2 linked regions of the Oreochromis niloticus genome follow. The protein of the gene in region 1 purifies or fractionates together with the protein of each later gene. This does not show direct contact. Links are inferred from orthologs where the notes say so. Each region holds a gene or a part of one and is shown in the gene's direction. Other genes may lie near its edges. The genes, in order: mark2b and tissue alpha-L-fucosidase.

Region 1 (15,867 bases):
TCATAAGCCAGTCAACAGTCTCCTGCGCTCTCATTGGTAGTTGAAAAAAGTTTATCTTTTATCTGTGAGTCGCTCAACTTGTTATCGCTGCTGGCTTTTTCACCTCTAGCTGCTTAAAGTCATTGAATATCACTTTCTGTGGTCTCTGGTTGCCACGTCACTGCCAGTGTGGACACAGTTTTAGGGCTTTTGTTTTTTTTTCCACCTTAAAAATACAGGTTTAACTGGTAGAGCTCATTGGTACTGTATGAGTTTGACCCTGACTCTACAAAACTTGCACATGGAGCTCTAGAGCAGGTTATTTCTACAGATCAGGTTACTATGGAGATGTAACCCAGTAATGTAAGGCCAAAGTGAAGTCACTAAGCCCCAAATCCTGCTTGTAGTACACAGGATTCGGATGACAAACATCCAAGCGCTGGAATAGGGAATATAGTTGAATTAACTGACTTTGACATGGTTGTTGGTGACAGGCAGGCTGCTGTGTTTCAGAAACATGTTCTGAGTGATGATCGTGTCTGGCTACTCTCGACAGAACATGACATGTCGTGTTTTCTTGCAGCTCCGTTGGCCAGCCCGTCAGGTCGCTGGGGTCAGACGTTATGTCCCATCGATGCTCAAACAGCAATTCTGATTGGAGGCCAGGGAGCCAGGATGCAGTTCTGCAAAGATCCCATGTGGAAGCTCTGCACAGGTCAGTCAGGTCAACAGCATTTTAGACTCTTGTTGATATTACAGCTCAGGTGAGAGCCGTGTTTAAGGGGACGTTCTGTGTGCAACAGAGGACATGTCCTGGGTGGCCGCGGAGACTCTGGCAGAGGGTCCGACCCCTGAGGCCAGGATCGGCCACACAGCCGTCTACGACCCCGACTCAAGAAGGATCTTTGTGTTCGGGGGCTCTAAAAACAAGAAGTGGTTCAATGACGTGCACATCCTGGACACGCAGAGCTGGAAGTGGACCATGGTAGAGGTGTGTGTTGATCTGTGTCCACACCCTGTGCTCACTTTATTTCTGTTTTTTTTTTTTAATGACTTCCTCCTGCTCTTCTTCTTCTTCAGGCTCAGGGTAAGGTTCCTCCCCTGGCCTACCACAGCTGCAGTATGTTTCAGGGTGAGCTATTCGTGCTGGGAGGGGTGTTTCCTCGGCCCAACCCAGAGCCCGATGACTGTAGCGACTCTCTGTATATCTTCGACCCCCGCCTCTCCATCTGGTACCAGCCCATCGTCACCGGAGACAAACCCTCCCCCCGCTCAGGGTAACATGGCTCAGTCCAAAGCTTTATTTAACGCACACTTTCTAACTTTTTTCTTTTTAAATATAATTGCTCCATATTTTTAACCTCCTCTTTGTTTCTTTTTGTCTTGCAGTCATTCTGCATGCGTGATGCAGGAGAGGAAGATCTATGTGTTTGGTGGCTGGGACACTCCTGTATGCTACAATGACATGTACATGTTGGACCTTGGTGAGCAACACACACAAAGTACCTAAATCAGGGGAAACGTGTAACTACACATCCATGCTTGCATAATTCAAATGCAACGTGTTTATGTCTTAGGTCTGATGGAGTTTTCTGCAGTCAAAACAACTGGGAATCCCCCCTCTCCTCGAAGGTATCGCACATAACACTTCAAAATATTATGTGAGCGTGTGAGACGTCAGAGCTGAGTTCAGTGTGACGATGGATCTGATCGTGTTACGCGTGCTTTGATGAACGTGGGACGTTCAAACAGCTGATGGGCATCCTTTGGGGATCCAGCGTACTTTCTTCTGCGGGCAGCATGACCTTTGTGAGTCTTAAGGAGCAGGCGGCTGCGTGCTGGGAATCTTTTGTGCAGCGCTTTGTTATCTGCTGCAGAGCCGTTTGGGTACCGTGTCAGGATGCTGTGAGGATATTTTCAGTGGTGCAGAGGTAGAAAGACACCAGAAGGTTTTGAGGCTGATTTAATTTCATCAGTTCTCAGAAAACAGACTTTTTTTTTCCTAAATGAGGCAGTGCCTTCTGTGTGTCCATGGAAATCTTCTGTGATATGTGTTCCCAGGAACCCAAAACTAAAGACTCTTCACGTCCTCTCCATTTATGTTCAGTGACAGATGGTCATTCTGATTTCTCCTGAAACTAATGAACAGCTCTTTGTTTTGTTTTTTTGGTGTTCAGAGCCAAGTTGTTTTCAGTCTGTCAACTTCTTTGTGTCTCCTCCAGTGATCAGTTCTTTTTTTTTGTGTGTGTTGTCTGCAAACTTAATGGTGCCATTGTGTTGTGAGATGCTATTAAGGGCTCAAAACAGCCTGTGGTGCTCCTTTGGAGAGGATGGAGGGGTGGTGGGGGGACCCATCCTGATCAACTGTGGCCAGGTTCTCAAGAAAGCTAGAGTCAGTGGGCAGATGTTACGATGAAAGGGTCTAGAAGGGCTGACTGTGTTGAACGCTTGTGTTCCAGGTGGTATAGTATAGTGTGGTGTGGAGGACACTGTAAATGGCAACATCTGTTGACTTATTGGTTCTCTATAAATACTGATGTGGGTCCAGAGTAGGTGGGAGAGTGTGCTTGATGTATTTGAGGATCAGTCTCTTAGTGTTACAGCCTCTGGCCTGTACTTACCGAGGCAATTTACTACAAACTGTCTGGGAACATGTGCTATAATGGATGTCTTTACCCAGGTGGGGACATCGTGTACTGTGATGGGGAAAGACTGAAGATATTTGTGGATAGCTCGGTTAATTCCACACTTTAGCCTCTGAGACCAGCTGCTTTTCTTTTATGTAGGCGCAGCTGTATTATAAACATAACACAAGCAGTAACATTTAGGGACAAATGAAGGCTTTATGGAGACATTTACGTTCCTCAAATTAAGGTTTAATAAGATTTTAATAAGGCTGGAGATTAAAATGAGAGCAGAGATTGTTACAATATCGTCTGCAGTAATTTCGAGAACCTTTAAGCAACTTGAAATTAAATGTGAACATTGTGTGCTTGTGTGTTTCAGCTGGCACGGCAGCGCTGTGCTGTCAGACACAAAGTTCCTGATCCACGGTGGTTACAACGGAAACAATGCCCTCAGTGACGCCTTCATCTTTGATATAGGTGAGCAGAGGTTTGGATTCTGAAAAGTAGTCTTTTGTTGTTAATGACAGCGTCTGACTGATAGAGGATTTAAGATCAAGACAGAATTATTTTAGGGTTTTGGTAACGCAATTCCCAAACTAGGTAGGCTTATTCTACTGTTCCTGCACAGTCCATACTGTAAGTCCGGTTGGTTCTATGCCAAAAAAATATCTCTATTTAAAATAAAAGCACAGACATATAAACAATAAAGTAGCTTACATAAGTATGTCAAAGCGATTTTTGAGCAGCTTCTAGAATGTAAATTGAGCCTTTTTTACCAGGTATGATAAAAAAAAAAGAGTATTAAAAAAATTAAATTGACATTTTCTTGTTTATGTTAACAATGTGTTAACCGCCACCTTCACCTGACTGAGTTTATTCTGAACATAAAGTGTAAAAACGAGAATTAGCGGAAAAATAAAAATTTCATGCCTTTGTTTTGCTGTTTCAGACACCAACAGCTGGACAGAGGTGAGTGTGCCTGAGCTGTCTGTACCCAGGGCGGGGCACTCCATCATCACCATGGAGACGGCCGGTCACCGCTGCTTCTCGGAGGAAGATGAAGACGCGGCTATGAACGGCGGCAGAACCCTGCTGGTGTTCGGAGGCGGGGACAACGAGGGCAACTTCTACTCCGACCTGACGACTGTCGCCGTGGAGGAGCTGCTCGGTGCTATTTAAAGAGAGCGAGTCAGAGGTGAATACTCTCTGCCTCACTGGATGTAAAGCTATTTTAACACCCTCACCCTTTGTTATTTATAATCCTGTGGGGTTTTTTTCCTTTTCTGTTGAACGTCTCCTTTCTTCTTTCGCTTTAAAAGGTTTCACCAGTTTTATTTGATACATCTGAGCATCTAAAGAGAGACCTCAAAAGATCAATGTGTCGTGAAAAAAGGATTAAGAAAGAGATTTCTCTCATTATGGAGCTCCCACTCATAAAAACAATATCTGCTTTAAAGCAAAGGGAAGATTTGATGATGTAAATATGTTTGTTTTTCCTCAGGTACTTTTTTTAAAATGTTGGTTTATATTGATTGTGTTTTTTAAAAACTGAGGCTCTACTTTAGTTCAGAATATATATATTTTTTCTTGCAGATATATGTAAGTGCATTGCAGTTTTTTTACAATGTTTATTCCTTCTTTTGTTTGTATTTGTCATCATCTCCAAACTAGGGGGGGGGGATTTTCTATTCATGTCACTGGGCTGTACCATTTTGCTTTTCTGATTTTACTCAATACACATTAAAAGGTAATTATTGTTTAACTATTGTGTTTTCCCTTATTTTATGTTATTTTTTAATTGTGCATATACTGGTTCATCATACATACACCCAGCTTCAGATTTTGTTTTGTTTTTTTTACCTCTTGGATCAGTATGATGTCAGACAGAGCAGATATCCTTAATATGGTCATTATGGCAGAATGTCCCACCTACCTGCCATATAAAACTTCTTGCAGCCAGTGGAAGCTGGTTCAAAGGGAGGTATAATGGCTTGTATCAGACAGCGTATGAATTGATGGATGCACCTGACGCCCTACATAAAATAAACAAGGATTATTTTGAACTATGAATCATGCAAAGCTACTCTAGCAGAGTCCCAAGAATGAAAGTACGCAGCTGCATAATAACTCCTGTTTTAGCCATTTTTCTGCTCAATATTAATATTATATTAAGTTAAACCCAGTTACATATTATTTTCCACATGGATTGTACGTAGAGTAGACTCTGTACAGTCTATGCATTACTGCATGAGGAATACTTTATACAAAATCAAACCAACATCAATTAAAAGGGGTTTGACAGCTTTGAACAGAAAAGACTGTTCATGCTGCTGTGGTCACTTGACAGTAACACAAGCTAACGTGAGACCTGCAGCGTGACACTGTTATCTTCAGAGAACCAGAGCTAAATGGAGACTTTTTAATAAAAGATTAATGGAGCGTGGGAGGGATTAAGTTCATATCCGCTCGGTTCCTGATAACGGTGTCATGACTGTGGCTGTGTTTGAACTTTTTTCACTGGATTAAACAGGCAGCCCCACGTTGGGTAACTTGAGATTAACAGAGGTCAGTAAATACACACTTAATTTAAAACAGAGATTCGTTCTCACAGCACTAAGAAAGACTTCAGCGTGAGTCGTCATCATGGCCAACCTGCAAAAGAAATGCGATCCACATCATCCCCAGCTATTTAATGCAAAAGTTAGCAAACTTGCATGTTTATCTGATATGTGATGTATGGTGAACATGCCAGAGTCAGCTGATCCAGCCATAACGATAAGCTTTATCAAAAAGTACAGTTTGAAGCCTAATATTTAAAGTAGAGAGGCTGTCTGGATTCTGGTAGCTGAAGACTCCCTCCAATTCATGTTTTAGAAACTCTAGTCAGCCTGAATTCTCACAGTGAAGTGCTCTGTTTGTTTAACATGGTACTTTAGTCTTAACACCTCCAACTACCACATGCGACTTGAAAAACTAATATGTCAGTGATATCATCACAATTTCTAGTCCCTGTCGGGATTCTTGCTGCAGTGTTTTGGATCAACTGAAGGCTTTTCTGAGATCTTTTAGGGCAGAGGTGGGGAACTCCTTGAGGTGGCAGAGGTGGGTTTTAGAGATCACCCTGGGTCAACACACCTGAATCAAACTATTAGTTCATTACCGGGCCTCTGGAGAACTTCAAGGCATGTTGAGGATGTAATTTAGCCATTTAAATCAGCTGTGTTGGATCAAGGACACATCTAAAACCCGCAGGACACCGACCCATGAGGCCTGGAGTTCCCCACCCCTGTTTTAGGGAAACCTGATAAACAATTACATTAGTCCAGCCTAGAAGTAACACATAGAATAGCTTTTCAGCATCGTTGAGACAGGATGTTCTAGGACTGCTCCATGTACATCAAACCTTTAGCTAATGACCATCCAACTGAATATTTCAACAGGAAAATTCAGCTATATTTTATGTACAATTAAGACTTAAGTACTTTATAGATATCTTTGTCAAAGTGTCTCTTAAAAGGTGCCACATCTGCTGAGGGAGGCAGACATCTGCAATTTTTCTACCTTGAAAACTCAAAAACAAACTGGTCAGAATCGGTTGGAGGCCATCAAACTGCTTTCACCTACTCCATGGTATTTCCTGTGGCGATACAAAGGAAAGCCCGACTTCCTCGACATATTTTACTTCATACCTGTGGATATAAAACCGTCCTCACTTCATTATTTCACAGACTATTAGAAAAATAAAACGTGTTGCTATGCATCGTGCTTAATGGGCCACAAAACAAGTCTTTATTATGTTCATCATAACTAATGGTAATGTGCTTCAATCCGTTTATCTAATTACACGGTGTTGCACTTACTGCGATTAGAGTACAGTGTGTATAAAAAGCCTGGTTTTTGGCTTTGGTTCTTTCCGTACTACTTTTGCCCACGCTGCGAGTCAGCAGCTTCTAAATTGCTAAGGTTAAGGGCAGGATTTTCACCCAGCCGACTGCTGAAGAAGGAATGATGGTTCTAAGGGAATCACTAATTTGATGTTTGTGTCCTCCACTCTTTTCCTGGCTTCCTTGGAGTCGCTCCATTTGTTTTATAGCCACCCCTGTGATGCTTCATTAAATCTTCTACATGGTGGATAAGCAATATTACACTTTAATGGCCCACAGCACTCCAGCATGCATACCTTTACACTGAATACAGGTGTTAATTAGAACTATTTGAAACATATGTGTGGGTGTTAATAATGCTTGAATTTGTCCGAGAACAGGAGACTATGAAGTATGACACAAAACTGCAACATCAGTAGCTCCAAATAGATGCATGTCATGCATGGAGTGACTTGAGCCATGGGTTATATAACAGTGTTGAAATATCAAAATAAAGAAATAGTTAATAATTGCTTAAAAAATTTAATTTTTCTCATGCTCCAGTGGATTTAGACCAGTTCATATGTAACCATGTGAAAGAAAAAATAACTAAATAAGGGTGCTGCTTTAATCAGGTGCTGTAATAGTAAAGATCTGTATTTTTCCACTGACTTACACACACCCAGGCTGAGGTGGATTTCAGAGGGGAGTTGCTGAAAAGCAGAACTGCTGTAAAAGCCCGACGATCACAGAGTGCTCACGGTTTGTTGTTTTACGTGCTCTACTGGGAAAACTATTGACTGCATATCAAAAATAACTGTTACATATTACATCCTCAAAGCAGCCACATACATTTGGCACATGGAAATAGTAATTGGAGACTCAAAGGCTGATATATTTTATTTAATGTTCCTCCAGTGACACTTAAAATATGCTTAGATTAGTGCAATTCGGTCTGCGACTCAGCCTCCTACACAGAGTGTTGTTTCTTCTGTACAGCAGCCAGAAAATGTGTTTCAGTGCAAATGTGCATGAGATAGATAGATAGATAGATAGATAGATAGATAGATAGATAGATAGATGTAATATAAGGAGGCCTCCTGCAGATGGCGACACTTCAGCACATATTTGTCTGTAACCAGCATGACTCCTGTTAAAATGGCCCATGTACAGTCTAAAAAAAGACTGTGGTGTCACTGAGTTTACATATTTACTGTTTTGCTATAGCTTTCTGACATTTCCCCCCCCCCCAAACTGGCATCCCTCTACTTTGATCCACCATGAAACTGGACATGATCCAGATGATGTGACTCGGTCAGGTTTATGCACTGACTGAAAGGTGCAGTGATTCTGCATTAACAAGGTTCATTATTAAATATATAGAGGGTAGATTGATATGCTAAAAGCAGGCGGGTTTGTTTCCTGGAACATACCCAGTGCACATACCCTGGAGTGCTCTCCCTCCATCATCAGGGAGGTGATTTTTTTCCCCCTTGGTTTATCGGGAAATCCTGCCAGTTGGATGCTCTCCCAGTCGTCCCCAACAACCTTCTCATACCCGTTCATATCCTGAATTCTTCTTTTTTATTTTGCACAACATCCTCACATTGTTCAAATGCTGATTTGTTATTTTTTTTTCATATTGCACCTCTGCCGACCTCCCAGCTGACAGACTTGTGGCATCACTACTTCCAGTGGAAGTCATATTACCTTTGTCAGTCTATGGCTGTTGCTAAGTAACTTGAAAATGTCTGTACCTGCAGTCAGCATCTCACACTTTTAGATGGCATGAGTTTCTATTTACATGTTATTTTTACAGCTGTGGCTGCCAAGAGGTATTGTTCTCTAATTTGCTTAAAAAAAAATAATCTTCAAATGGATTTGAATATCAACCAAAGTATTATTGTTTTAGTCCAAAATATCAAATCCTAGCCAATAGGCTAGTTTTAGGCTTAAAGATTGAAGTGTTTATGTGCCCTCCATAAGTGTTGCACTGCACTGTAACAGTGTGCCTCAATAAATGAGTACTGGAATTCTTAGAGGTGTGATGGGAATAAACTAAACGTGTGACAGATGAAAGGAAACAGGGATGTGACTCAGTGGTAAAAATATCTGGCAACTCTTGTAGGTGTTGCCTGCAGAACTGGAGCTTCCAGAGACGAGCGGAAAGAGGCGTGTGTGCGTGTGTCCATAGGACTGTTTGCAGGTGAAATTAATCTGCGCAGACATAATGAGGAAATACTAGTTACTCACTGAACGAAAGTCCAGCTTCTCTTTGGCTTTACTGAAAGGGGGATCAGTGTTCATGGGACTACACGCATTCATGCTGTAGGCACTTCTCTGGGGTTTTTTTGGTAGTATCTGTAAAGAGCAGAAACTTCCTCCAATCAGCACATTTATAAGTATTGACCATTAAATGCAGATTAGTGTAGTAAAAAAGTGCAATCTCTCCCGCTGAAATGTAGTGGAGTAAATGTAAAGTCGCATAAATCCGACATACTCGAGTAAAGCTTCTCATGTTTGTAATTAAAGATAGTAGACTTACTTGGGTGGGTTAAATTCCATCACAGCTGGAAGCAGAAACATGCACACATTAACTTGTCAGGAGCGCTCTGTAAAAGACTTTGCCACAATATTAACAATGCAGGAGGCAAAGAGCCCGATAAAATATTCATCGGCATACTTAAATAAATCAATAAACCAAAAAAAAGAGGAAATGAACTGAAAGACCGGTGAACTTTTGCACCCCGGAGGCTCCAGGTTTCTCTCTTCCATTATGTCTGGAGTTGTAACAGAGCCTTCATTCCTGCAAAGTTGAGGAGGAGAACAATTACAGTCTCCCGCACCTGCCATTTACCAGCATGGAGGAATTGCGGTCATTCAGCGGTAAAGGCTCGGAAAAAATCGAGTGAAGCCGAACTCAGAACTCCCTCCCTCCCCTTTCAAGTCGTGGTGCAAGCAAGCAGCCATGTTGCCGCGAGCTTGTTCCGGTATGAGGGCAGGATCGTGCGCATAGACTGCATTCGGGCGCAGCTCCTCGCTTTTCTCCCCCCCTCCCCGTTGCCCGTGACACGCACCTCCGAGGAAGAAAAGCCCACTTTGCTGATAATGGATTTTACAACTTGATGATTCCTCCTTTGGTCGGCTGGTGACTGGAATATTAGTCGGTGTACCGACAGGACGAACTGGTAGATCGCCACACTGCAGTGCAGCACTGGTGAACGACCTTATTCCAATCACGCAACACAAGGAAGAGCGCCGGTGATTTCCGTGGATTTTGAGCTCTGTGGGTTGCTCTCTGGCAGTCACCGCCACTGCGGTCGCTGGGGAATAAGCTAACGAGCTAGCCTTACCTCAAAAGAAACCCTGAATTAGCTAGCTACATGGGCTAATGTCGACCAGTTAGCTAGCGCAACAAATTAATTTGTGATTCTCACCTGCCATGTGACCATTTTACAAGGTGCTGCTTTTATTTTTAGGATACCCTGGCCCCGGATAACTCACTGGGAATATTTGAATTTGCTTTGTGAGAGTTGGGAAGGTCGAGACCTCGCCGGGAAATAACTTTGGCCTGAAAGTTTGTAGACCTCGGAACTGGTTTGAAGACCTAAAAGGAAACATCTCTGCCACAAAAGGAGAAAGACAAACGGCGACACTGCGCGATGAAAACGACGCCGTGTCAACATTTGCTGTAGATTTTGGCAAGCGGTCATTGGTTCCTCAAACCTCAGTTGTCGACCTTACAAGTTGGCACGATAGCCACCTATCTGAACCTTGTCTTCTTTCAATACAACCATTGCCCAACTTTTTCTTCAGGCTAGCATAAGTAGCTAGCTGGTCAAAACGTCACAGCACCAGGTAGTTAGCTCGCGTCTTACATCCGTGCTATACCTCACTGTTCGCTATCGACGCAGATCAACTTGAACTGGGAACTGAATGCCTTCACACCCAGGCCGGAGCTGAAGAAAACATTAGTTTTCCCCATTTTCTGCTTGTTGACAAACATGAGACCTGCGGTTGCTGCTGCTAGCTAGTTTCGAGCTAGCTGGCTAACTCGGCTAGCCGCTGATGGTGGGATTCAACTTGTTGATTCACAGGCTGTCTGTCGCGCTGCTAGCTGGCTAGCACTGGACATCTGTTGGAGATTTTCCTCAGCTATCAACTACACAAGTTTTAAATGCTCAGCAGAGACTGACGAATCGTACTAGTTTCAAGGTTCCTTTTCCATTTTTTATTTTTATTTTTTGGCAACACAGACTCCTTCAAAAATGTCAACAAGGCCCCCACTGGTTCAAGTCATTGAAAATTCGACCGGGCAGGTAAGATATCCTTGTAAATTAATCTTAGAAATGTGATTATTTGTGATATTTGTCCACAAAATTACTTTAAGTTCTTATCTGCTGGGGAGAGAGGCCCTTGTTGGCCTTTTACAGGCTTTGGTTGTCTCTGGTTGCTTTTTTTTTTTCTCCTTCCTCTCCTGTGTCTCTGTTGTCTTTGCCACAGAGCAGTGATTCACCAGCTTGCCTACGCACTCACATTGGATTTCCCACTCCTTACAGGATAGCAGAGCAAATTTAGGTTTCTGTTTAGTCTGTGTTTAGGCATGTCCTCCCACTTGACTTTTTGTCACTTTTGACCTTCTGCAATACAGGCAATCATAAAGCTGAAAGTAAGTTTTCAACACATTACTTTATCACAAAGTTTGATGGAGACATATATATTTCTTTTTTATTTATTTATGCTAATTTGCAACTTACCTGTCCTTCTGGAAGAAAATTGTGGTGTTTGCTTGTTGCAGTCTTTATTTGGCTTAAATGTGTCACAGAGCTATCAGACAGAAGAAGTGGCATTTAAATGGAAATGAGAATTTGTATTTCAAATGAAAACTTGCAAGAAGGGTTGCGCTTGGATATATCCTCAGTTTATTGGCAATAAACTGTTAAGGAATGAGTCAAAAGCCCTTGTAGGTCATAGTTCAAAGGAAAAAAAGAAACTTGGATTGCAAGTAGGCCTATAGGGGGGTGATTGAAGGCACTCAGACTGTACAAACAATACACATCTTCTGACCTAGTAAAAGCCTGCTAACCCCCATCCATATGTGAAAGAGCTCCCCAAAAAAACCGAAATAAAAATTGAGATTCATCAGTTGCAGACGCTGTGCAGATATGGTTTCCCGCTTCAAGAACCCTGTTTTTTCTATACATTTGATTAGCAGTTCTTTGAGGTATGTGCTCCAAATCCATACTAGAAAGCTGAAGCTAAGCTTCCATATCTGCCGCATCTGTCTTAATCTTGCAGACAGTTTTATCTTTCCATTATGAGAAAGCCGCATTTGCTCACATGAAAGCTATTATAGTTTCTAGTGAAGAGTGTGACTCGGGCAGTCCATGTTCAGCATCACGTGGTATTTGCCTCATTAAAATCTCTGAATGTTTGATGGGAAAAGAAAATTGTCTAGGTATTGACAGTGTAGCCACTGGATGATGTCAGCAAGCGTTTGAAGCTAAACCCGCTTTGCGGTGCTGCCCTACGAATGCATCTGTGGTGAGGATTTGCTTTTAGCAGCTGATCAGCAATTTTGACGAGTGTGGGAACTTAAATAGAACTATTGTTTCTGACGTGCAAAGTATTTTTAATGAAACCTTTGTGAAAAATTAGATGTGTGGCTTTGTAACACAAAAGAAACACAATAAGGGGAGTGCTAGAGTGCACTCTGTCAAGCTAAATAGAAACGACGAAAACCCCAAACTTCAGTGTGAACTGCTGATGCATGGCTCTACCAAAATACAGAACTTATTTTATCAGCCAATAGGAGTGTGTCTTGGTAGTAAACACTGAAGGGTTCAAAGATATTTTTTTCTGTCTTTACTTCCCATAAAAGCAAAAATGCTGACATAAGTTTGCCAGTAGATACAATGCACGTGTACCACTGCCTGTCGCCACTTCTGTTAAACCACTTTTTTTTCTTACACATGCAGTGCAGCTGCAAACAACTTCTTCTACTTATTACCTGATGGACATACGTGCAAGAATGCAAATGTCTGATCAGACAAACTGTCTTTAACTTACCAGCTTCCTAATGAGTCCACATGATCAGTCAGATTTCACCCAAACAAAAACTTTTAGACTTTTTCACCTTTATTTTTTGAGTTGTCGTTTAAAAACAGCGTCAGGATGTAAAGAAAAGTGGACATAAGCTTATATTCATATGTAGGCAAATAAGTAGACACGGTGACAATGAGACATGCGTACACAGCTACACCCTTATGAGAACAAAGGTCAGCAGTAATGCAGTAGAGTCATCCACTGTAGCTGCCTTTTGCGTACAGTACAAACAGACAGGGCATTTCCATCTCCAGTGGGATCTTAAAAGTTGACGTCATAGTGAAAGCTGGGCACTTTTGGACATGTTGCTGTAAGACAGACACGTACGAAGTCATGAGCAGAAGCTTCCTCACTGTGTTCAGTGTGACAGCCTCTGCACAGGACCTTGGCGAAAGAGAAGCGGTCGATTAAAACGTCAGACCTGGCTCCACTTTAGTCAGGTCTAGAATGGACAATCAAACATTGTCCATTCTGATAGGCAAATACTTGAAAGCAGACATAACCGGCAGAATATGGAGCAGTGTTTAGTTTGTAGCACAGGACACACAAAGCAGGAAGGGAGATAAGTGCTCCTGTGATATCTTGTCAGGCTCATAAGAGTGTAATACCTAACTGCGGTACCTTGGCGATTAATAACCCCTCAAACTGAACTTGTTGTCGGACGCTGTTTGTGCGGCCTTGACCTTATGTCGGTTTGAAATAATCCCGCTGTTGTTCTGAATGCGTCCATTCTCGTCCCACAGCATCCAGTGAGGATTTAGGGGTGGATTTGAGGGGTAAAAAAAAGAGAAAAGTTTGGGGTCATGGCAAATTCTTAACTAGGTTTATAGGCAAAAGGCCATGGATGAATACTCCCACACAAGTCCAGTCTGTCTTTAAAGGCCATGTATAGAAAGCCTTTGGTGTCAGGTCTCAAGATACGGGACAAAATGGCACCGGGCATGAGGACGGGCTGAGTGTTGACGAGTCTCTCTGTGCCCGTCAGAGATTTAAGTGTAGGTTTTGATCCTTTCAACCCACGAGCAGGTTATGATCCGCTTGTATCTGCTAAAGACGGCTTGATTGCAGTGGTTTGTTTTAATATTTTGAGGGACCCTAATTGGGAGCTGCTTTACTTGGCTTCAGAGTTTGCAAGCTTTTCTTTTCTTTTTTTCCTTCTTTACACATGACTGCCAGCTAATCTGTGAGTTAATGGTTCTACAGGTCTGGGGGGATTGTGGAGTAAAGTTACTGACCAACACAGTTTTCCATTCAGTCATCATGAACACTTGCTGCGCACGTATAATTAGAGAGCTGTCAAATACAGAGAAGTGACTTATGACATCTTTCTGACAGTGTGAAATGGCAGATATGTTGAGTGGCTTTGATCGTACACGTTCCCACGTTGTGCAAGGCTTCAGGCCTGCCGTTAGTTTGAGGAACTTATTTGTGTGTTCCACATGAGTATAACAACACTTCAGTGTTAAACAACAGGATAAATGCATGTTTATTACATGTTGGGTTGTATTTTTGTGTTTAAACTACCTGGTGTTAAAATATCACATGAGTGCAGTTTGAAATAGGTTTTGGCACAAGTCATCTTGTTAACAAGTTTGCACAGTTTGTCCACTTCCCTAGACATGATCACTCAATTGTCTGATTTCCTGTTTTACAGTGCTCTCCCTCTATTCATTAAGCCATGTCTTCTGACCCACTAATATAGCTAGAAATACTGGTATGGCTCTTCAGGTCTGTCAGTTCATCCTTCTTTGTTTGGATGGTTGCACACTGTGCCGGATCTTCCGCACATTATAGAGCCAAGCTATTAATTTGTCAAAGTTGAAACATTTCCTCATTGGGTCATTGGGAGAAAATGTAAAACTAACTAAACTAGATTTGGAAGTGGCGTTAGAGGTTTTATTGAGTTTTCATGAGGTTTATTTACGCAAGTCTTTATTCCCAAAGGACTTACAACAAGGAACAAGGAAATAAAGCACAATAGGAGATAAAGCACTTGCCCACCTCCAGCCAGATGTACTAAACAGTACATGCAGATGTTACTTCCTCACTCACACACTCTTATTAAAATCATTATAAAATGTGTGGGGAGAATTTCCTCACCTTCAGATCAGACATAAACATGTTTTGTGTAGCTCACTGTGGTTGATATGAGGTGGTGGGCAGACACAATGGGATGGAACATAGTGATCTAGTTTTCTGTTTATTTGTTGTGTAACTCCACTTTTGCACTGGCTTTTTCTACTTTTGCTCCCAAAAGAATTTAAACTTGTTGTTTTTTTTGTTTTTTGTTTTTTTCAAGCAAAAAAAAAAAGGAATAAACAACAAGATAAGCAAACAAATATCTGTATTGCTCTGGGGCGCACAGCTATTTTTAAAAATGGTATCAGTACAGAATATCATCATCGGCGTATCGGTTTCTTTTCTTGTCGTGTACACGGGACTATGGAAAATTTCAAACTTCAGGCATGTTCATATGCTTTATCTTAAACAGCTATTAATGACAAATGCAGTTCGTAAGCCTTTTTATGAACCGTCATTTCTCCTGTCATACCGCCTTTGTCAAGTGTGTTTCAGTGCTGGGTTAATCATTGAGCATCCTTCTGACATTTAGTGTGATTGAGACTGGTGCAACGTCAGTTGAAAACGCGCTTGTTTGGATCAGACTGATTGGAGTTCACCGAATTAGTGAATGATTGAAGGCCGTCGACCACGTCTGGCATTGCTTTCAGTCTTGACAGCAGTGCCTTGAGCCTATGGTAATTGGTGAACTTGAGTGGATGGATATTAGCTTGACTGAGGGTTAAACTGTATTAGACAGTTACTTTTGACTGTTTTTAATACTTACTAACTATTCCAAGCAGGACAACTTTTTTTAACTACTTCAAAACAGTTTAAAAGGATCCTGATGAAAAGATGTGAGTGTAGCTCAGGTTTTGTAAACAAATCCCCCAAAATCTTATGGATAGTTTGATCCTTTTACCTGTGGAAACCATAATCAGCATGAACTTCATGGGGTTCCCAGCAATATATCTACAAAGCCGTTGTGGAACTCTCCAGGCTTAGGTTGGTCAGGGTTGCAGTTTAACCTGACATTGGTCAGTCCTTTGTCCTGGCAGACACCAGGTTACTTCTAGTTAGTGAGTGGAAAACGTAACTTTTGTACCAAAAACAGTCATTGAAATCAGTTTATTGATTTATACCAATGGTTAATATAACTTGAACTGTTACAGTTCATCAGCAGCAGTTTCTATTTTAGTTTGACCTTTGTAAACGCCACGAGAACTGAAACAGTG
Region 2 (16,066 bases), on another chromosome or scaffold:
ATTCTGATGTCGCGATATTTCCAGAGTTGCCCACTGTAGAGCAGTTCGTTAAAAGCCTTCCCCCCAGTTTATGCCGATGTCTTACAAAATATACACCTTTGTTTTTCGAGCCAGATCAGGAGTTTTATTTCGGTGTAATCAGATGTGCAAAAAACATTTTCCTCAGCGAATTCAGTCACTTTCAAAACCATTAACAAGAAAAATGCATCCAGATGTTGGACACTTTTATTTGTCCCTCATCTTAACAGCTGTCAGATATTCTGTCTATACGAAACAGAAAGTTGGATGTTAAAATAAAAATGGTAAAATTCGTTCAAATTGCCAAAATAACCATTAATATATTAAAGATAGATGCTTTATTTTCCCCATTGTGAAATTTGACCTGGACTGTAGAAAACTAGACCCATAAACACAGCACCAGCAGATACAGACACATTTATTGACAGCAGGCATCGCTCAGAGTGCCGTGTAGCCTCAGCTCATTTTAGGCTAACATTTAAAAGTCTCCACAGAGGAACAAAGGAGATTTGATTCATGCTGTTAAAGTCTAAACTACCTGGCTGTTGGTAACAACTCATACTGAGAGTACAGGATGAGGGAAGGATCACAGATGACTCACTCTGCTTGTTTAACTACTCACTGGTCAACAAACAATCTGAAGACTATAACGATCGCTCTAATCAATCATTGTTATCACAGTCTCAACCAAGCACGTTAACTCTCCTGAACCATGGACATTTTCACATTTGAAATAAGGCGATCGCTGTCAGGGTTTGCACTGTCATTACTAGAGCAAACACCATTTCAGTCAACTATAAAAATTCCCATAAGCAGCGGCTTATGGGAAAAGTCTTTGCAAATGCCAAATATGATTTAAAGTGGTGCTATTTATTTAAAGCTTTAACAAATCAGAAGGAGTCGTGTGCTTTATTACATTTTAACATACTTAACTTAGATTAAACTTGGACTGAGGTAATCCACAGCCCAGTATGTTCACTGCAGCTGTAACGTGAGCACCCTGAGGTAGCATATCAGGGAAGTTTGCTATAATAAAAATATTTTAAGTGGTCCTTCTTGAGTTTTTTTGTCATTAATAACAATTTACAAAATTCAGCCACAGCACCTCTTCAGTCGTTCCTTACACACAGCTGATCGAGCTAACTCTGATTACTGTCCCTGGAACTGAAAAATCAGAGTTAATCAACCCGGAGTTTAACATTAAACACTTTTTTTCCCAACCTGGCATCTGTGGTCATCCACTCTTGGGGTTGCACTTTGGCGTACGCTTGCATGTTTGTCTGTGAATAGTTTCGTCACCCTTGTGCAAGATGCTGTCACAAATCTGTCCTAAGAAGATTTGTGTTACAGCTGCAGTTCCCATCAGGGTGATTACTCACAAGTGTGTACAGTTACATCTTTATCTAAATGTATTTATTTATATAAAAATGAATTCAAACAGGTAGTAGGAGGTGGTTAGTTTGTGATATTATTCATTACTTTGACCTAAATTTACAGCTCTTGTATTGAAGTTTGCATATGACTGCGTTGCATTAGAGATTGATAGCCAATCCCCTGTGTTGTTTATGTTTTTGGAATAAAATTCACAAGGAAATGTGTCACTTTCTCTTGTATGTTGATTAGAGTGAAGATTTAAGATTAGGTGGGTCCCATGGGATCTTCTGTTTTCTAAGTTAGACCACAGCACTCTTAACTTTAGGAATGGATGCTTTAAATCATCACTGTAGTCTTTTCTTTTCTGAATTTTCTATAATTGCACAACTGAAAAAAAAGGAAAATGATTTTCTGTGTATTTTGTACATAAGAAAAACATGACTGTCAGGGTGGGATTCCTGAGCTTGCAGAGGACAGACAGTGTTTACTTAAATGTTTTGCTTTGTCCAAAAGGAAGAAAAAAGCATATTTGCATACTGAAAGTCTTTTGGGTATAAAGAGGCCACTCGAGGTATAAATGCAATAAATGTGGTGTAAAACTGTGGACATTTCCCAGATGCCTCTTCATCTCATTTATGATTGCATGTAGTTTTTTTTTCACAGTCCAGGAGTCACTTGTTAATATAGTGGTTTAAATGGACCTAGTTGACGAAGATATGCAACAAGTGCAAAACTAGTCTGTGGCGCACTCTAGTGGTTAGTCGGCTCAAATCTGTGCCAGCATGCTGTCTCAGGTTTTTGCTCTAAGTAAACAACTGCTTTTCTTCCTTTTACAGAGTAGTTGGTTATGTATTTAATGCACAAAATACATTATATAATGGCTAAAGTCTAATTAGCCATTACTCTGTAATATATGGCTAATCTCTTTAATTTGTGCCACCATTTCCTTAGCCATCATCTTCTTGCATGTAATTGTATAGCACTATTAAGGGTGTAATGACTAGAATACACCTGTGTGTATTATTCAGGATAAAATGAGTGAATTGTTTTTAGAGGCATGTGATAGCTTACGAGACTTATGGACCTGGTGCTGCTGAATTCTAAATTATTTGGAGCAGATTAACCAAAGAGACAATGATATATCTAAGAGGAAGAAGCTAAATTATAAATAGCGCGGGTCCTAGCATTGATCCCTGGGGGACCCCATCTGTAAAGGGCTGATATGGAGTGGGCAGTCTAGCCTTGAACAAATTGCTTTCTGTCAGCTATGTAGGATGTAAACCGTTTTAGTGCTCTGTCCTTGATTCCAGTGCTGCCCACTCGTAATAACAGAAGATGACAGATGGTATCGAAAGCAGCACTGAGGTCAAGGATGATGAGGATGGTGAGTAGGTCTGCATGTAAGGCAAGGACGAGGTCTCTGGTGACTTTCACAAAAGCCTTTTCCCTGGTGTGTCTGAATGGCTCCTTAAGTTATTATTAACTAAGGAAGCCTGGACCTGTGATGCTACAAGGCATGCTCCAGAATCTCAGAGTTAAATGGAAAGGTATACTTGCACATAAACCACTACATTGGACACTGATGTGTCACTCTATACCATGCTACCCCTTGGTCGTTTAATGTTACTATAGACGTGTTTCATTGTAATCATTGTTATTTAACTCTGTCATGCATGAATGAAGAAATCCTCAATCAGGATTTTTTTTCTTAAGTATTTTTATTTATCTTTTCATGCCTAAAGATGAATAAAAATACTTAAGAAAAAAATCCTGATTGAGGTTGTCATAAATCATGCATGAAAGGATTAAGTTTACTAATTACTTTTTACTAATCTTTTTGATTTTTTTTTTTGGTTACTTTTATTTCTTTTTGAAACAATACATAAACATTTTAAAAATTTAAATGAGAATTTGAATTAAAAATAATTAATTTACTGCAATGAATTTATTGGGCCATCAACTGCACGCTTTAAAAAAAGTGAACTGGCCTTTTTATTTAACTTTTTAATGTTTTGAAATTTTATTTTCTTCTAATAAAGACTTCACTAGTGAGGTCATTTCCTGCTGTTTCGATTTTGATACAATGCTCTCTATTGTATACAGACATTATGATGAAGCCATTCAAGTTTAACAGGATGGAGTTAATGAAGATTTCAGAACTGGTGAAAAAGGCCAGGAGTAATTGTTGGGTAAGTGACGTGAGCTGCTATAAGCAAAGAGAAGTTGACCTTTAGAGATATGACCACGTAGAGAAATTAAGTTTTTGAGAGGAACATGTTGCTGCATATTGCCGTTGCTCTTGCAGCAACGTCCAATATTACCAGGAACCAAATGTGCCACTTCACTCACTTCAACACAGGTTCTTGTTCTCACCATAGCAAAGATGCTGGCAGGTCAAAACTTGGAGTATCTCTTACACTGTTATGGAGCAACAATTAGAACTATCGCTTTATCATACGTCATTTAATTTTGAGCGATATAATTTTACTGCATTGTACTTTTTTTCCCGATAATAGAAACCTTCAAATGGGTTCAAACAGAGCACGACCAACACGTTCTACTCCAAACCTGACAGCCGTCTCTATCAACCGTTGACCATTATCACATACAAGGCTCCTAATATGAATAAGATAGCAAAGGTTTGGGCTGAAATGTGAAAAACTCATAATGGAAAGAGAATCAACATGAACCTCAAACTGAGATTTTGAATTCTAGCATTAGGCCACTTTGCTTTAATTTTTTGCTTCTTTTCTCCTGTCTTACAGCTCAATCTTTAACATCCTTTGTCCATAAGTCCCATATCCACCTCTGCAGGTGTCTTAACCATCTCTGCCTTGCCTCTCTATTTGTCACTTGGGCTTGCTGGCCTCAGAACCGATTACTGTCTAGAACAATGATCATCTGGTTTTTACCTATCCACGTGTGGTTTGTTCTCAAAACAACTACAAAAATACAGAGTTGTAACCAATGTTCCCTCTAATTTTTCATGTGTCTGAGTGAACACACAAACTCCCTGAGCGGTCCCTTGGACCACTGTGAGCAACATCAGACGTGTGCACTGTGGTCACGCCAGCATCTAATCCATCCAAGTTACATGGTTTATTAAAATAATCAAATTGCAGCATTTACATTTATGTTAGACTACTTTTAATTAACTGCTTTAGCCCACTTACAATGAAAATGTAAAAAAAATCTAGTCATTGACCTGTGCAGTATGTTAACACTATTGGAAGTAAAAATAACTTGAATTCCAATTTTGAAAACACAACTTTCTTTCTTTTTTTAAAAAAAGCTCTGACTTGTATTATGAGTCTGTAGTCTGGGAGAGTTCTGTAACTCTCTGTCTGCAAAATACAGTATATAATGACCAATGTTGGGCAATTAATTATATAGTTACTTCTTCAAAAAAGTAACTCAGTTTGGCAAACAACAAAGATTTTTGCAGCTATTTTTTTTTAATGCAGCCAAGGCGTTTTTAAATAAACATTTCAAACTATTTACAGAACAATCAGCTGTTCTGCATCAAATCTGATGCCACACAAATTATTTGTGCCACTCGAAAAAATAATTTCTGTCCCCTATGAGATAAAGGAGAACAACAGCCTGATACCTGCAGGCCTGACAACAGGAGATGTATCACTCCTGTAACACCTGTAACATTCAGTACTCGCCTCATTGTTCTGACACACACAGCAAAACTACACTACACACTAACTACACAAGATTTGCGCTAAACGTCGCAAATCTCTCACATATCAAAGCACCGCCGTCACTCCTAAAACTTCCCCCCGTTTCTTAACAACTAGATGCCACGTTGCCATATCATTTCTTGATTGGTCGACATGGTACTTTCTTGGACGAATAGGAAAGGGAGAGGGGGGTGGAGTTTGTTTTTGCTTTCGAGCCTTTTTTCTTATAAAACGCCGTTTTTACCGTTTCTTCCCGCAGTAAATATAAACAACGACAGTATTCAGGAAGAAAACCAATCATTGCATATTTTTTTTTATCACAACTCTGGTTTTAGTGGCCTATCAACACAATTTAAAAACTGGTATAAAGTCCACACATTTTCCGTCAATTGTTCCGTCTGTCCTGCTCACATCTCCAATGGTTGTACACGTTGTCATTAACGTGGCTTCACTCCACATCAGCCACGTCGCTTTGCTAGCTAAAACACCGGTGTCGGCACATAAGGACGCTGTCATAGCCTGTCAGCGACATTGATTAGCTGCTTATATACGAATGTAAATCGCATTATTGGCTGGACTTACGGGAGCAGCCAGTCACTCACTGACTAACACTGCAAAACAGAATTGTTAAAGTATTAATTTTAATTTCAATTCAGGTTAATTTTTTTTGTGCGCAACACAGATTTTCTGTGCGCAGAGACCGTGCCAGCAGTGCGCAATTGCGCACGTGTGCAGCTTAGGGGGAACATTGGTTGTAACTGAAATAACACATAACTTTTAAAGATAACTCCTACAGACCAAAAGTTGCTGGGTGATGCATAAAGACATAAAATTATGACGACTTGCAGAATCCTCTGGGTCACAGCTAGTTTAAACCACCTTTCTGATGAAGATGATGATGTTGAATGGGAGAGATGATTTGTCATAAAATCATCTTGTGAATTGGTGGATTAATTTGTGATCACTGTCTCTCACTCATTCAGGACGAGTCTGATGAGCTTTTTAAAGTTCTGCTGATTTTAGTTTACAAGTGTGTGTGTATGAACACGAGTTAGTTTTAGTGGTGGGCCTGGTGGTAGTATGGCTGCATAGCTGATTTTCCGGGGGACTTTATGCATATTTTAAGAGCAAAAATCGAAAAATCACCAAGGCAACTCAGGAGGGCGACAATAAGCCTTTATTCCAGCCCAATGTACCGAAAACCACCGAAGTAGAATGAGTATTTAGATCTGCAGCGCTTCTCACCGTTTGTGCACCATGGGCAAGTCTCGGGATTTAAGTGAGTTTCAGCGGGGTATGATAGTGGGAGCCCGAGACGGCGGGCTCAGCATCTCGCAAACAGTGAACCTGTTGGGTTTTTCAAAGACCGCGGTGTCTCGAGTTTACAGCGAATGGTGCCAGAAGCAGAAAACCTTCAGTCAGCGGGGACCGTGTGGACGGAAGCGGCTCGTGGACGAGAACGGAGAGAAGAGACTGGAAAGGCTGATGGAAGCCAACAGCGAGGCTACGATTGAGGAGATCCATGCCATGTACAACAGCAGCGGGGTGGAGAAGCCCATTTCACTTGCAACTGCCCGGCGGACCCTGAAGAGGCTGGGTTACAGCCGCAAGACGCAGGGAGAGGACGTCCTCATCGCGGCAGGGCTGGAAGCTTTAGCCGAGTACACATCCGGCCAAGAACACACGGACACCTCGACGGACATAAAGTGTGAGGTGCAAAACGAGCCACAGATCGAGTCCTCCACGACGGAGCTTGCGCGCAGTAACGAGAATGACTTGGAGACATGAATGTGGTAGTAAAGACTGAATTATTCCCATTCGGCATCCCGGTATTCCCAAAGAAAACTGTCCAATGTAGAGAAGTTCGTTATTAATGGTAAAGAAAATATGCCTTAGAAATATGTTTCCTCGAGTTTATTATTAAGTTTTTATGACTTGCAAAATTACACACTTTGTTTTGGAGCGAGATCGGGATTTTTATTTCTTTGTAATCAGATGTGCAGAGAACATCTTCCTCGGAAAATTCAGTCATCTTCAAAACCATTAAAAGCAATCTGCCTCCAGATGTTGGATACTCATATTTGTCCCTCACCTTAACATCTGTCAGGTGTTATGTCTATAAAATACAGGTTTTTTGCAAAACTAGAGCCATCAATACAGCACCACTCATATTGAGAACACACGAATAATGATGGATCACGATTGATTCACTTTGCTGGTTTCAGTACACATTGGTCAAAAACAATTTGAAGACTATTAATGATCGTTATGAGCCGTTATTGTTATTGCAGACAGAGACTGAAGTCACTTGAAGGAGTGACCACTGAAAACTCTTCGCCCAGAACGTTATTTTTAAAGCACTTTTTATGAAAACATTAAATAAATTAATACATGAATACATATACACACATTGAATTAAGTCAAAATTACTGAAGAAAAATAACGCAAAAAATAAAAGAATTGCCTTTCTGTAATTTCCTGATTAAGAATAAGTCAAGATATTCTTAGAGATTCCTTTAATTTCTTTAATAATGTCCAAAACAAAAAATTATATATGATTCAATATTCCCAAGAAAAAATGCTGCACAAATACCCAAATACGTATTTCTTTATTTTTACATGTGCAGGTGTCTTTTTGTTCTGGCCACCTGTTTCAATAAAGTTGTAACAAAAAAACCCAAGAAAAACTCAACCACGTGATAGTGGCTCCGAGTCATATGACGGAAATAAAACTGGCACAGTTTAGCGGAAAGGACCTAAAACGTCGCTGTTTTACCGAGCTGCCTGTGGGACATTTGGACTCCTGTTGTTCCGTTTCTGGACACACAGTCAGGGGAACTGTAAATGTGACGCTCCTTCAACATCCTCATTCGAGCAGCTGCAGGAGTTTGCGGGGAAGCTCACCTGTTATCATGCTAACCGTGTTTGTTGTTGTCGTTGCTCTTGTTTCTCAAACTGCGGCTCGCTACACCCCGGACTGGACGAGCCTGGACGCCAGGCCGTTGCCCTCATGGTACGACGAAGCCAAACTGGGAATTTTCATCCACTGGGGCGTGTTTTCTGTGCCCGGCTTTGGCAGCGAGTGGTTCTGGTGGCACTGGCAGGGCCAGCAGCCCCCGGACCAGAAATATGTGAACTACATGTCCCAGAACTACCCACCGGGCTTCACCTACCCGGAGTTTGCTCGTCAGTTTCACGCGCAGTTCTTCAATCCGGATGATTGGGCGGATATTTTCAAAGCTTCTGGTGCAAAGTGAGTGTTTCTCTTTAATATTGTATCGTCTTTTTGACCCTCGCCTTCTCTCAGTATACACATCATCATTATCATTATCATTATTAGTAGTAGTAGTAGTATTATTATTACACAGTACACGTACCCTGTGTTACTTGCACACCCTCGTCAATGCAGGTATGTGGTCCTGACTGCCAAACACCACGAAGGCTTTACTAACTGGGAGTCTCCAAACTCATGGAACTGGAATTCTGTTGATACTGGTCCTCACAGGGACCTGGTGGGAGACCTGGCAGAGGCAGTGCGCAACAGGTGAAAAACTTAAGTTACGATGTTAAAAAAAAAAGGTGGTTATTGTTGACAGATGGTATGACACTGATATGCAGAGAAGCCCAGTGAGTTTTAACCCACTGCCTTCCTCCTACAGAGCTTCCTGTATTTTCATATCGATCAGCCTGTTCAGAGCTCTTCATTTGTCAGTCAGGTGTCATTAACGATGCAGAAAAGCTTTAAAGCTTCATATTTGTGGAACTTACTTGTCATAAACTTCTTTACCAACAGATGATTGTTGGGTTAAGATGAATCATTAATAACGGTGCAGCCATGTGTATCAGTTGTAATTGTTGGTTAGATCAGATGTGTTCCCAAGTGATGTCATTTAAATTGCACGTATTGCCGTTTTTTTAATAAACGTCTGTAATTTCCCCTTTTAGGTCATTGCATTATGGACTCTACAATTCCTTGTATGAGTGGTTCCACCCTCTCTATCTCATTGACAAGAAGAATGGCTTCAAAACGCAGGAGTTTGTGCTGCAGAAACTACTTCCAGAGCTTTATAACATGGTTGTAAGGTCTGTGGTGCTTAAAATATTGCGTCAGCAATTTATACATGTATGCCAGCAGTATATTTAAACCTTTGCTCCCCTGTTGCCTTGGAGGTATCGACCTGAAGTCATCTGGTCTGACGGAGACTGGGAAGCACCTGACACCTACTGGAACTCTACCGAATTCTTGGCCTGGCTCTACAACGACAGCCCAGTTAAAGTGAGTGTCTTTATGACAAGGTAGTCATAGATTGTGCACTTGCTTTTATTTTGAAAGTTCAGATGCTGCAAAAAAGACATCCCCTGTGCTTCCTGGATTTTAGCTGTGGTGTATTGAACTGCAGGTAGCAAAAGTAGTCCTCATTCTTTTTCTTAGGATACCGTTGTGACTAATGACCGATGGGGAGCTGGCTGTGCCTGTAAACATGGCGGATACTACAACTGCGAGGACAAGTACACGCCGGGCCAGCTGCCCACACACAAGTGGGAGAAATGCACATCTGTGGATACTCTTTCCTGGGGTTACCGTCGAAACATGAAGATGAACGAACTTTTGCCATTGGCTGCGATTATCGAGGTGAGGATATGCACACAGATATTAGCTTCTGCATTTAAAGTTAACGTTGCTTTTATTTGTATATGGTTGTTATAGAATATCTTTAATCTTTGCTTGTGTGTACAGCCTTCAGGAAATACTCTTGTAATTATAATGGCTGTATTTAATCAATTAATCCAAGCCAAGTGTGCTGTCCTTTTGTTCTGTTGGTTTCTGATGGTTAGGCCATAATGGATCAGTCATCTTTTGCTTATCTGGACTGTAACACCGTTTTATTGCCTGCTTCCTCTTGTGTCTGCTGTTGCTTTGTTGCAGGATCTGGTCCGCACAGTGGCTTTTGGGGGTAACTACCTTCTGAATGTGGGTCCCACACCTGACGGGATGATCCCCCCTTTGTTTGAGGAGAGGCTAAGAGGTGTTGGAGACTGGCTGGAGGTCAACGGGCAGGCCATTTACTCTTCCAAACCCTGGAGGGTGCAGTCAGAAAACACCACTGTACCAGTTTGGTAAGAAAAAAGGGAGATGTGACTCAGATCACATCACTGTATTTTCACTGCATTTTCTTGACTCTCTAGATTCAAGATGAGTCTATCCACAATCTGTCAACTGTATGAGAGTTTTAGTGCAGTGGGAGAGCTAATCGGCTCTGAGGATTAGTGCAGGTTACGGGCAGATACAGACAGGATGAGTACTGTTGTACTTGGCAACACGTATGTTAAATAGCATGGTGTTTGTTTCAATGTGAGGAAGCTGAGAATTTTCACAGTAAAGTGCATAATAAAGCTAGCTATGATCACCTGTATTGATCTAGTTAGGCAATGAGTCTGTGTTACCTTGCTTAGTCCACCAGTCCTGGTGATTTTTACTTTGTTTGGTGCTGGTACTTTTGTATGCAGAAAAAAAACTCTGTAATGGTCTTCACTGTTCTAGGTATACATCTAAAGGGTTGACAGTCTATGCCATCCTAACAGCCAAACCCCCGATGAGCACAGTGAAACTGCTGGCACCCAAAACTTCGTCCATCACACAGGTAAAGAAACAATGCTGTCCATGTCGTACTCACAGTTGAAAAACATGAACTATTTTTTTTGATCTGTTTTTATCTCTTGTCCAGGTGTTCTTGGTGGGGAATCCTACACCTTTATCTTGGGCCCCAGTCAACCCCGGTGGTGGCCTTGTTGTCCTTTTGCCAGAGCTGCCTTACACTCCTGCTCAGGCATGGACGCTTGGACTGGACTTCGTGCAGTAAGCTACGAACGCCCAAAATGTTGAATTATTTCAAATGACTCGACTCAGGTTTTAATGATTGTAGATTAATGGGGAAACTCACTGTCTGTCTTGAAAGGAAAATACCCGTGTAATGAGTTTGTATCATTTCCAGAGTGAAAGAATGAAACACTCCTCCTCGGTGATCGCTTTGACGCTCTGAAGGCTTAAAGATTTACTGTCACTGTGTCTCAGTTGTGTTTGTTTTTTCATGAGCGCGTGTCTATGAATGAAAACGGGATTCTGCTGTTGAGCTTGTGGAGCTTTTCTGGCAGTTTCTCGGCTGAGTGCCGTTTCAGAAATGATTCATTATGCCAGCAGTTTGTTTTGAAAATGAGCAGATTGTATACAAAGCACTTATTTTTTCTACTTGCCTCCTTTTAAAATTGGTGGAATAAAAGATAACTTGATTCGTCTTCTAATTGTTCTGTTATTATTAAGCTTCCAATGCAGGGTCAGTCAGCAAGCAGGTATTTTAGGATTTGCTAAAAGCATAAATGGCACCTTCAATTTTTATTAATGCATCAGTGCCTCAGTTGACAGTAACAAACCTGCGGGGCATGATAATGTTATGACATCTGTACTAATGGATGACTGCGTTGATGTTCTAACCCCTGAAGTGCCACAGGAGGTCCTTATTCATATATAAGTAACCACTGACTGCTTTCAATTCCTAGGATGTGCGAATTGACAAAAATGTCCCCTGAATGTGTCAGTCTGACTTTCCACTTAACTGAGAAGTGAATGGCCACAGGGACTGAGCATTTGACAGAGAATGCCAGCGTTAAATTGTTTTTGTCCTCTCCTTTAGCCTTTCTTAATAGGTTTATCGGGTCTGCTTAGAATTTGCATTGTAAATCCTTCCAGGCGGTGACGGACGCGAGAAAAATGGAAAATCGGTTTGGAGAATCCTTATCATTGACCTCTACTTTGCATTTTAGCCGTGTGCTGTCGAGGTTAATACATCAATGCTGCAAAAAAGATGTGAATCTATAAAGTGATTTACCCTTGAGTTTAGTCTGAAATATTCATCATGAAAAAAGCTGTTTGTTTGTTTTTGTTTTTTTTAAACATGTAAAACTACTAAAAAGCTCAGAAAATGCATTCCATTTCCACTTTACCTTACTGGTATAGTCACACAAAGGGAAATTACACCACTGTCGAGACTATTGCGACAGTATGTAATGAACAGAGATAGGCAGTAATGTGTTACTGTAATCAGATTACTTTTTTCAAGTAACTAGTAAAGTAAGGGATATAATATAAGATAAACCTCCACTGGCCTCACTCCTGCTAAACAGGTGGAAATAGATTTAAGCGCAACAGGACTTAGTGCGGCTGAACCTTTCATTTTATTTATTTTTTGCGGTGTTTTACTTGCATCTATTTGAAAGAGTGAGTGTAAACACAAAACATTATTTTATTTTATATGCTGAAGTATGCAGATAACAGGTTTAAATGTTAAACAAATTTCTTCAAGTCAGAGAATGTTGCATATAATTACATTTTTGCTTGATGAATAAAGTTAGAAGATTAAAATTAATAAAACAATTTTTAAAAAGAGACTTTTTTATTTGATCCAATTTTATATCATGAAATATGCAGAAAAAATAGAATTGGGCTGAAAGGTCTATTGTTTATTACCTATTCAGGTTGTGTATCATGTAACTAAGTAATAAAGTAACTAATTACTTCTCAAAATAAGTAATCAGTAAAGTAACTAGATTATTGTCTTGGAGAAGTAATCAGTAATTACTTCTAACTAATAACTAATTACTATTTTCAAGTAACTTGACCAACACTGGTAATGAACTTATAAACTTCCTCTTGAAGTGGTTGCTTCGAAGATGGGCATCAGATCCACGAGCTACTCTGCTTTGTTTGTCTTTTACATACAGTATATATAAATAAAAATATATTAGTGGCAATTAATCCTCCCGTTATCACATTTGTATTCATGTCAGGTTCTTTTAAAACTTGTTGCTAAAGTTCTTTGGGAGTTTTCCCAGTAAGACACACATAATGTCTAGATTACTTTACATATAACTCCTACTTATTTGGTCATTAATCAGAAAAATCAACACACACAAAGAAGACGCAGCACCCACTCATTTACCTCGCTAAAATAGCTTTATAATAATCATATTAATAGTAATAATATTAGCCATTAGAAAATGTTTCGACAACGTTGACAGTGTTACATTCTGTGTTGGGGTAAACCACGTCACAGTGTGCCATCTCTCTGGGCTTTCAGCGCTATCAGGCGTGCTCCTTTCGACACATCCAGACCCACGAGTCATTACGAGATCCAGAAAATCAATTTGTATGTACAAAATGAGAAGCACAACACAACAAACAGAATCAGGATTTACACCGGGCATCGTCCTCCACTGCCGTCCAGCACGTGTTCGGATCGCTGTGTTCATGCACGTTGTGTATTCACTGGTGGCAATGTGAAAGTTCATATCTTATGGCATCTCTATTGCTATATGCTCCAGTCAATTCTTTTTCTTTATAGGATGAAAAACAAAAAACCCCCAAATAAAGCAAAACAAAATCATTTAATGTTTTAACTGTACAGTATGCTGTCTTGGCACTGAATCGAACGTGTATAAAACAAGTAAGCACGACAATAAAGCTGAGCTTAAAGACAGAAAAGCTTAATGTGTCAAACCCGTCTGATTTAGAAATCATGGTGAGACATGAAAGAGAAGGAGAAGAGGGGGCTATTGTGTTTTTTGCTACATTATAGAGTAGAACACAGAGAGTGGAGCATCTTATCAGTTTGAAGTCTGTGTTGCGTCTCTGTTGTGGCAGCGCTAAGAGTTCAGAGTGGAGTAAAAGCACACGGAGAAAGAAGGTCATAGGTCTGGGTCTTCTATTCGCTCCACCTGTTCAGTGCTTACTTTTCTCTCGGTGATCTCACCCCGCACGGGAGTGTCCATCCGTGATCCCAGAGAAAAATATCTTCCCAGAGTTATTGTCAGTTTCCTCTTCCTCTACTCCGTCTCCTTAGTAGCAGCGATTTATTTACTTTCTCGTTAGATATTAAACTTTTTTTTCTAGTTTTTGTTTCGTTATTGTACACAAGACTCATCCTTGAATATAGAACAATGTTTACCCCATGGCTGTGACTGACAACACCGTTTGTAATAATGGAAGGGATGGCAATTAATAACCATTTTAATGACAGCAATCATACTAATAATCATGACGCAATAACAATATGTGTAATATTGAGAAGAGCAACGTCTGTTGGTAACAGGTATTTACATTGTTGTAAACACGACGGTGGCAGGGTATCATTTTTGTTAATTACACAGTAATTGCTCAGTTTTCTCTGATCCGCATGGCTAGCCGTGTCTACTGTAAAGCGACATTACAGTGCTAATACGCACACATACAGAAGTACACCTCAGTGCTAAAGGCACATTGGAGTTTCAGTTAAACTTCTGCTTGGCGCTGAGCTGCTCTGGAGGCAGAGAGGAAGCAACAAAGAACATTTAAGGAAGCTTGCTTAACAATTAGGATCTTTTGATAATGCAAACATTTCTTTTATTAGATATGGACTCAGCTTTTCAGCAATAGTTGCTCAGTGTATTAAGACTATAATCACCTCTGTTAATTCCTTAGTCTGAACTTAAATTTCCAGCTAAACACGAGTACGTGAGAAGAATTGATGCAATCCAGCATGCTTATATGTAACTGCTAGCAGTCTCAGTAGGCTGGATCCACATTCTGTATGTAATAAATGTGTATAGCTTTGATCTTTTGATGATATATTGGGCCTTGATACAACCTGTCTGCTCATTTGTTTCAGCTAAAACTTGCTATAAACCAACTTTCCTCTGACTGGCCTTTTCTCACAAACAGAAGGGTTGAACTGAAGGTGGGCGGGGCTTCTGTGCTCACAGCCAAGAGCTGTGCACCTGAGATGGCTATATTAGGGATACCTGATGTCTTCTATATCCTACAGAGCCAAGAACAGAAAAACCATCAGAAACCAGTGCTTATTTCAGTTTTTGTTTTGTATAGCCTTTTGCCACTGTAACAGTTTATATAGGACCAAAACATGGAAACATATATTAGCCCCCACCCTTTTAAATAAGCTAAGTTTGATATATGAGTTTGAATAATGTTACAGCCTCCATATCTCTCTACACTGACCTTAATTTCCAGTGTTTTCCAATTCACTCTCCTGTATCCTAGCGCTGCTAATGCTAAGCAAACATTTCCTATTGCTGTTGGTTAAAAGTATTCAAATGCTGATAATTGTCTGAAAATGTTTTTTTTTTTCACACATTTGATCACCTTTAAATATTGCTGAGAATAATGACACAAACGAAATGTTTTTAGAAAATTGCCTCCTCTGCTTCTCGTAATTTGGGTTAATTCAGTGACTTAGCTTTTTCCTCCAGAGCAGCTCTGTCTCACAGAAATGTAAAATTAAAACTCAAATCTGCTGCTACTACACCCCTCCAGCTTCAGTCTGTTGCAGATGCACAGCACACAGCAAATGCACACACGTAGCACATCGGCTACGATCGCCTCCATCGCCAGCTCCTGCATGTTACCGCGCTCCGCTTTCCAGTCTCGGAGAATGGCTGAAAGAGAATCTGGGCTCAAATGACGTGTGATTTCCACACTTTCAGAGAATATTAACAACATTCCTGCAGGGCTGGTCTGGCGCTGTATGTTCAGGGTCTGTTGGTTGAGAATCCCCTGAGGACAGAGGCCTGGGTTGGGGATTGGAGACACTGCTGCTAGAAACTGAGGTACTGAGAGTTGGCTTATCCATCTGGCTGTCCACGTGGGGTTTTTGCACTTACAGAAAGAGGTGAAAAGGTTCATATAGCAGTCTGTCTGTTGTGTCGGTGAGTGCTCAGGTCATGTTTGTACAACTCCAGTGTACTGTGCAGATATCGAACAATGAATAGATACAGTAAAGAACGCAAACCGTGGAAATCACAACCACCAGAAGTGTGTTTTCAGTGGACCTGTTATCACAAGGCAAGGTGGCTGGCTAACACCTCAAATTATGATAAACAATAGAGGAGAATGTCAGCGAGAACTGAAAACAAAGTAGTAGGAGTAGTTGTTGCTACTG

What was found.
Region 2: the proteins of mark2b (region 1) and tissue alpha-L-fucosidase purify together in Homo sapiens (affinity purification with mass spectrometry; 3 studies listed by BioGRID and IntAct, counting the BioPlex papers as one, with this or other methods). This does not show direct contact. The link is inferred for Oreochromis niloticus from reciprocal best matches to the Homo sapiens genes MARK2 and FUCA1.

Annotation. Positions count from the first base shown.
Region 1 is NC_031967.2:9,974,529-9,990,395, forward strand, and holds the start of mark2b (serine/threonine-protein kinase MARK2), read left to right. Parts: upstream 1-9,460; 5' UTR 9,461-10,737; coding exon 10,738-10,788; intron 10,789-15,867. Other genes in the region: krcp (kelch repeat-containing protein), read left to right, coding at 563-694, 783-970, 1,060-1,256, 1,369-1,463, 1,557-1,611, 2,986-3,083, 3,556-3,785. UniProt on the Homo sapiens protein: Serine/threonine-protein kinase. Involved in cell polarity and microtubule dynamics regulation. Phosphorylates CRTC2/TORC2, DCX, HDAC7, KIF13B, MAP2, MAP4 and RAB11FIP2. Phosphorylates the microtubule-associated protein MAPT/TAU.
Region 2 is NC_031985.2:27,696,515-27,712,580, reverse strand, and holds tissue alpha-L-fucosidase, read left to right. Parts: upstream 1-7,770; 5' UTR 7,771-7,798; coding exon 7,799-8,334; intron 8,335-8,490; coding exon 8,491-8,625; intron 8,626-9,026; coding exon 9,027-9,164; intron 9,165-9,251; coding exon 9,252-9,357; intron 9,358-9,513; coding exon 9,514-9,714; intron 9,715-10,008; coding exon 10,009-10,199; intron 10,200-10,623; coding exon 10,624-10,723; intron 10,724-10,807; coding exon 10,808-10,942; 3' UTR 10,943-11,381; downstream 11,382-16,066. UniProt on the Homo sapiens protein: Alpha-L-fucosidase is responsible for hydrolyzing the alpha-1,6-linked fucose joined to the reducing-end N-acetylglucosamine of the carbohydrate moieties of glycoproteins.